Callithrix jacchus: one gene and its partner. The protein of the gene in region 2 interacts with the protein of the main gene of each other region in a pairwise test. Links are inferred from orthologs where the notes say so. Each region holds a gene or a part of one and is shown on either strand. Other genes may lie near its edges.

Region 1 (3,747 bases), on a different chromosome or scaffold from region 2:
GGGTCACTATTTTTGTCCCTGTAACAAATTCAAAAGCAAAATACAGCAACTCTCAGTTATCTGTTTGAAAGGGCACTGTGGCAGCACACATAAAATGACAGCAGACATGCATCATGCATTTAAACTATGAGTTTTAAATTCCTTCTCAGCTAAGTATTTTTCCTGGGCTTTGGGGAAGGAGCAGATTAAACTTGTCTTCCTTATTTCCCCCTAGGGTAGGAGAAAGTTAGTCATTAGTATTAATTAGTCATAGTCGAAATAACAACAGCCGTCCTAAGTAGCAGGAGGAACAAAAAACCAAAACAAAATTATATACACACATACACACACAACTCTGACCCCAAACTCAAAAGAAAAAGAAAACTGAGAAAAGTGTTCAGCCCACAAATTTGTCCTTTTTTGAATACTGACCCAGGGTAAGAGAGAAAAAGATTTAAACTTAGAATGCTGTGGGACAGGAGCATTGCCACAGCACCGATGACTGAAAGACATTTTTGCAAATTGCAAGGGAGACAAGTCTTCCATTGGCATCAGTGGAACCAGTGAAAGAAAACCAGTTTTCTTCTGAGTTGGATGATGGAACAGTTCATTCAGTTTAAGGTCAAAGAGCAGAACCAGAAATCAAGGCCTCAGGATGGGAGTAAAGAACAATGCAGTCAGAGGAAAAAAGGTGCAGGGCGGGGCGGGGCGGGGGGGGTGTGGCAGGGGGAGGGCAGGTGGAGACAGAGTGGATAACAGACTTGAAACTAAGAATCACAAAACTTAAGCAGATGTTGAGACTTAGCAATTATGATTGGCAGTTTCTATAACCTAGCCTTAAGCTTAGACTTTTATTTTAAAGCAATCACCAGAAAAAAATTAAAAGAAATTACGGAATTATATCACTGGAGGGGATCTTATGGGCAGAGACTTGAGGTTCACAGTTGTTAAATAATGCTCCTGCTATCACACAGCCAGTTAAGTGGGAGTCTCCATTTCCCTTCTCCCCATGCTTTCCTGACCCTACACTGTCAAGAAGGGTGGTGGAGAGGAAGGAAGGTACCAGGGCATCACTACGGAATACATCACAGCCTGAGAACAGGCTATGCACGTGGGGCCTTTATAGCTAGGGAAACACCAGAAAAAAACAAGGGCAGTATGGCAGTTTCTTTCTTAGAGAAGACTTGTAAGGGGGTTAAAGAATATGCTATGGGAAATAAACACCTGGAGAGCCAAGATCCTTAGGTGGTAACTAACAAGAGAATCGTGTTGGGATACAGCACCTTCAGGAGGAAGCATAAGTTTCTCAACAAAGTAATAAAGTAGATCAGTAGGGTGCCGAATTTCCTGCCTCTTACTGTTACTTTCTCTTCTCAGAATGACACAGGAAATAAATGTAGTCAAGTCCCAAATTTGATCCTAGGGGAAAGTGAGCACCCAAACTTTCATTAAGAGAAGGCACCTGAGGGCTGGGAGTAGGTTTTTAATACTTAACGAGGCTATTAGCAAACGAAGAGAAAAGGTCCAGGTGAGTTCAACAGCCAGGTCACAAGTGGTAGCCCTAAAAGCAGTGCAGAAGGAGACGCTTGGAAGAATTGCTGCTGTCTTCGAGGGGGCTCTAGCAGGCTGGTACTGTGAAGACGTTAACCTGGACATTTAAGAAAATTGGAGGATGGAGTGAAGTGCCGAGCGGTGAGTGAGCAGTGGCCTGCCAGAGGCTCTGTTTAGTCCTGGAAGCCAGAAGACCTTTTGCTAAAATCCTGTTTCAGTTACACATACACACAGGCTAAGGCTGTAGGGATTGGGGTGTGGAGACCTCCTGCTTCTCCTTCCTCAGTTTGATCATTCAAAGGGCATCTGGGAAGCCTGAGGGTGGGAGAGGTTGGCCCAGGTTGGAGTAACGTCCCGTGTCTAGGACCTACCGCTATGGTTTGTAGGGAGAGAGGTAAGGGGAGGTGAGCCGTGCTGGGACATTGTCTGGGAAGCAAAGGGCATGGATGGGGACACTCTTAACTTCGCCTCAAAAGTAGCACAACTTTCAAACGAACGCTCTGCAGAGTTATATTGGCTTCCCACTCAGATGATGGCTAAAAGACAAGAGTTAACTAAAAGCCTCAGGAAGAAAGTTTATTGAATTGTAAATTATTTCTGTAGATTTCTTGCTTGCACGTGGAAGACTTTGGTCAAAATGGGATTGCGAATTTCAGGGCAGGTAGCAAACAAACCCCCCTTGTTCCCTCCCATTCCAGAAGCCCCTCACCTGATTTGGGGAAGTGTGGCCAGCTCCAGGGGCAGGCGCTGACCAGAACTACGGTCGCTCTTTCCTTGGTCACCGAAAACCTCCCAGCATAGAGCTAGCAGTTAGGACACCGTGACATAAAACTTAGCACCCCACGCCTGTAGTCCCCCAAGCAAGCCCGGCGGTCGGCGCGGACTCACCCGCGCCCCGGGCGCTGCGTCACGTCCCGCCGAGGGCCGGCTGCGCTGGTGCGGGTCTCCACCGGCAGCCTCGGCGTCCCGGCTGTGCGCCCTCACTCGCTGGGTCCGCTCCAGCGGCTCCCCATCGATCACCGCCCCGGCCCGGCAGAGCTGCTGGCGGCACGCCGGTCCAGACGTCCTGTCACTCGGTGCCTGGGGTTCTGGCTGTCAGGAGCAGGAATCATCCGCGAGGAGACAGCTCCGAATTTATAGTGAGGGGCGTTGCTGCTTCTTGGGTTCCGGGGACGAGGCTCTGTTTTGCATTCCCTCCTCCTCCGCCCCGCCCCGGGAGACCCTCCCGGCCCAACCTCCTCCCTCTTAGGATACTGACGGCAGCAAGGATGCCACAGTGGTCCCGTGTCAGCTATCAGATCAGCGTTCACCTGGCCCCGAACCCCGCCTAGCGAGGGGTCGTGAGGGAGAGTGAGCTGGGGGTACAGGAGTATCCTTTCCGGCGGAGATTTATGTTCCTCAACATTTTTTTTTTTTTTTGAACTTGGAAAACTTTTAAGGACAAATTAGGGAACTTCTTTCTCTTTCCTACGAGTAATTTGAATTTGGTAATACCGTTGTGGATCATAGATTACATGGATTAATTCCAGGGTTATGAAATTGAAGGGTGGACAATCATTTCCCCCTATCGGACACGCTACCTAAGTTGCATTTTTAAAAAATGTATTTTAAAACACCCAACAAATATTTAAAGAAGGAATAATATAAATTCTTCGCAAACTCTTCCAAAAAATAGAAGAGTAAGAATGATTTCGCAACTCATGTTATGAGGCCAGTATCACCCTGATATCAAAACTAAAGACATCACGAGAAGACTACAGATCAACATTTCTTATGAGTATAGATAAAAATTCTCAACAACCCCATCTCTACTAAAAATATACAAAAATTAGCTGGGCGTCGTGGCGCGCACCTGTGGTCTCAGCTACTCAGGAGGCTGAGGCAGGAAAATTGCTTGAACCCAGGAAGCGGAGGTTGCGGTGAGCCGAGATCGTGCCACTGCACTCCAGCCTGGCCCCTGGCGACGAAGCGAGACTCTGTCTAAAGAAAAAAAAAAAATTCTCAAAATGCTGACAAACTGAATCCAATAATGAATAAAAGGATTATACACCGTGGTCAAGCGAGATTGATGCCAGAAAGCAGTATTCGTTTACCAAAAATCAATTAATGTTTGATAGGTGAGCAGGGTGACAAAAGTTTATAGTAATCTATTGTATATTTCAGAGTAGCTAGGAGAGAATAATTTGAATGTTTCTAGCATAAAGAAAAGACTAATAT
Region 2 (3,747 bases):
CCTGTAATCACAGCTACTGGGGAGGCTGAGGCCGAAGAATCGCTTCAACCCCGGAGGCAGAGGTTGCAGTGAGCCGAGATCGTGCCACTGCACTCTAGCCTAGGCGACAAGAAAACTTAGATAAAAGAAAAATAAAAATAGGCATGGATGGATGGGTTGATAGATGGGTGTGGATGGGAGAGAGTGAGTGGATGTTACCTGGGATGAGTGGCTGAAGGAGACTGATAGAGAAATTGGAACAGGGAACCCTGCAAAGATCAAATGTAGACATCAGAGGGAGCTGACAAACTGCAGTAAAGATGTGGGAGGCCGGGCCACAGAAAGCGGCACGCTCCGAGGCGAGCGGACGAGCGGCGCGCACTGAAGCAAGCATCACGTAACTGAACCGCTCACCCACGTGTGCATCCCCTCTTTCCTCCTTCTTAGACGGCTCTCCAGCTCATTCCAGCAGCCCCAACATCCCCGTCGCCCCCGCCGCCACAGAGAAAGCAAACCAAAGGGAGGAGACCCCCTGCAGGTTTTGGATGCCCAGGGCCAATCGAAAGACTTCGATCCCCTGGAAGGCGGGTGCATTGGTTTAAGGAGGTCCAATCGGTTTCCAAGGGGTTGCGGTGGGGCGGGGAGATGGGCGGGAAGAGGGGGAGCGGGCCCCCTGGGACGCAGCGCGAAAGGCTGGGGGCGGAGCCAATGGGCGCGAGTGTCTGCTAGGAGAGGGCGGGCTGCGCCGCGGCGCGCGCGATCCGGCTGACGCATCTGGCCCCGGTTCCCCCGGACCAGAGCCGGGCCGGGAGGGAGGGGAAGAGGCTAGAGCGCGGAGGGCGCGCGTGCGCAGTGGTGCGGGGAGGAGCAGGGATCTTGGCAGCGGGCGAGGAGGCTGCGAGCCAGCCGCGAACCGAGCGGGCGGCGGGCGCGCGCACCATGGGGGAGAAACCCGGCACCAGGTAAGGGAGGTGGGGCCACGCGGCAGGGTATGGGCGGTGGCTCGGGGCGGGTGCTGGTACGGTCCCAGACGAGGACACAGCGGAGAGGATCTGGGGGCCGGACACCTGGGTCCCTAGGGGCAGCCATCCGGGGCCGCACGCGCAGGTCTTCGAGGATAATGGTGGGGGGGAAATGCCCGGGCCCCTGCAGAAAGCGAGGCTTGAGCGGGGGATGAGAAAACCGGTGTCGGGGTTCTCGCAGGGATGTGGGGCTGGACTACTGGGCTCTCCGGTGCAGGCTGCGTTGCAGGGACAGAGGAAGGAGGAGCAGGTGGCTGGCCCTGAGGGGTCGTGTACCGGAGGCTGGATGCCGGAAGGGGGGATCACCTCTAGACTCGTTCCAAGCCAATGGAAAGCCTCCAGTCCAATATCCCCCAGGCAGTTGCGCTGACCACACCTGTCCCAAGGCCGAGCGGCTCCTCATCCAAACTTCTACCTTTCCCTGGGTTGCCAGGAGCAACAGCTTCATCTTGGGGGAGCCGTGTGTGTGGCGACCCTCCCTGAAACTGGATCGTATCCCTCTCTCTGTGGGTTGTGGAGGCAGTATTCACCCTGGGCACGCGTCCACTCCCCGGATGTTTTCTGTGCAATCGAGGCTCTTTCCTTCCACTGACACCCTGAGTTCTCTTTTTTGGTCTCTAGCAAAATCCACTTCCTGTTGTGACTCAACACCCCCAAGGGGCAAGGGGTGAATGCCTGAGTCCCGGGGAGCAGGAGCAAAAGGCGAAAAGGTTGGGGCTGTAGGCCTCAACCCAGAGGGGCTCAGGAATGGGGATTGGTCCTGAGCTCTTGCTTGCTCTGCAAAACATCATGTCGACCCCACTTCCAACCTATGGAGTATGAGAACCTGGATTTCTGTGCATCAAGTAAACGAGTATCAGAAAGAGATGATCAGAGAAATAATCGGTGTCCTGGATTAGGGTTTAAACACCCCAGAGAAAGGGGAAGTTGCTGACTTGTGGGAGGCCCCAGATTTCCATTATGTGGTTCAGGGAGTGGGACAGATGGACCAAAGGGACTGCTGATTTGGCACAATTTCCTGCACCCCAATCAAATTCTGGGCCACAGGAAACAGAAGAGCAGGAAGTGTGAAAGGACGTCTGCTTCAGCTACCCCCTGCCTCCCACTGGGCACCTCCCTGGTCATCCCCATGCTCCCCCTCCTTGTCCAGCCTAGTATATGCACGCTGCTCTTCCCCAGCCTGGCAGAAGGTGGCTGGGTTAGGATCCAAAGGGCAGGTGCCTTGCAGCTGCTCCAGGACAGTTGCGCCAGAGCCACACTCCAGTGGGCCAACTGATTGTGGCCGTCACAGCCCTGTGCCAGGGCTCCTAATGGGAGGACACCCTGGGACAAAGGAAAACCAGAAGCAAAGAGGCAGGAGAACCTGGATGATGCCACGGCACTAAGCCCCCAAGCTGGAACAAAAGATAGGGTGTTTATTCTAGATGCCGCCATATTGATGTTTATTCTCCTTTATTGGTTGGGAATACCTGGGGGCCTCCATACCCTTTGCCTTACAAGCTTTGGACAACTTGACATTCTGGGAAGAAGGGGCAAGTGAAGTTGTAGCGGAAACTGGGCCTATGGTAGAAACTACTTTAGGGCCAAAGGCCAGGGTCATTGCTCTCCTATGTGCTCCAGCTGTCAGAGCTGTAGACCAGATGGGAAGATGGTTAGGTCTTACTCAGACACTTAAGCAACCTGCCCATTTGGGTCCTCTGGGAATGGGGTGGTAGAGTTGGAGGAGGGATGGGCTAGTTGGCAGGATTTCACTTTTTACTATCTGGGACCTTTTCCTATCTCTGCTGAGGCAGAATAGAGTAGAAGCAGCAAGGTGGTGCTTCAAAGAACAGACCACAATTAACTGGGGTTGCCAAACCCTTCCTTACCCAGCCATGGGTGGAATCCAGGCTGAAGTTGTTTCAGCAACTGGAAAGCGAATACTCTTCAATTCAACAAACTATTAATGCCAACTGCAGAGACAGATAGTATAATATTGATTGAGAGTATGGACTTGGAGCCAGACTGCCTGGGTTTATATGAATTCCCACCATTTACTCTCTCTGTGACCTTAAACAAAACACTTGACCTCTCTCTGCCTCAGTTTCCTCACTTATAAAATAGAGATATTAGGACCTCCATCACTGGGTTGTTTTATTTATTTTATTTAATTAATTTATTTATTTTTGAGACAGAGTCTTGCTCTTTGCCCAGGCTGGAGTGCAATGGAACAATCTTGGTTCACTGCAACCTCTGCCTCCCAGATTCAAGCAGTTCTCTTGCCTCAGCCTCCCAAGAAGCTGGGATTACAGGCACGCACCACCACACCCAGCTAAATTTTGTATTTTTAGTAGAGGCAGGATTTCCCCATGTTGGGCAGGCTGATCTGGATCTCCTGACCTCAAGTGACCTGCCCACCTCAACCTCCCAAAGTGTTGGGATTACAGGCATCAGCCACTGCTCCCAGCCTTCTTTTAATACGCTTAACCCAATGGGCCAGGTGCAGTGGCTCACGCCTGTAATCCCAGCACTTTGGGAGGCCGAGATGGGCGGATCACCTGAGGTCAGGAATTGGAGATCAGCTTGGCTAACATGGGGAAACCCCGTCTCTACTAAAAAAATACAAAATATAGGGCAGATGTGGTGGCTTAAGCCTGTAATACCAGCCTTTTGGGAGGCCAAGGCGGGTGGATCATGGGAGGTCAGGAGTTCAAGATCAGCCTGGCCAATGTGGAGAAACCCCATCTCTACTAAAAATACAAAAATT

Evidence for each region.
Region 1: the proteins of ARRB2 (region 2) and AGTR1 interact in a two-hybrid assay, tested with the Homo sapiens proteins (2 studies listed by BioGRID and IntAct, with this or other methods). The link is inferred for Callithrix jacchus from reciprocal best matches to the Homo sapiens genes ARRB2 and AGTR1.

Annotation. Positions count from the first base shown.
Region 1 is NC_133518.1:36,555,191-36,558,937, forward strand, and holds the start of AGTR1 (type-1 angiotensin II receptor), read right to left. Parts: upstream 2,641-3,747; 5' UTR 2,419-2,640; intron 1-2,418. UniProt on the Homo sapiens protein: Receptor for angiotensin II, a vasoconstricting peptide, which acts as a key regulator of blood pressure and sodium retention by the kidney.
Region 2 is NC_133506.1:106,268,550-106,272,296, forward strand, and holds the start of ARRB2 (beta-arrestin-2), read left to right. Parts: upstream 1-828; 5' UTR 829-918; coding exon 919-941; intron 942-3,747. UniProt on the Homo sapiens protein: Functions in regulating agonist-mediated G-protein coupled receptor (GPCR) signaling by mediating both receptor desensitization and resensitization processes.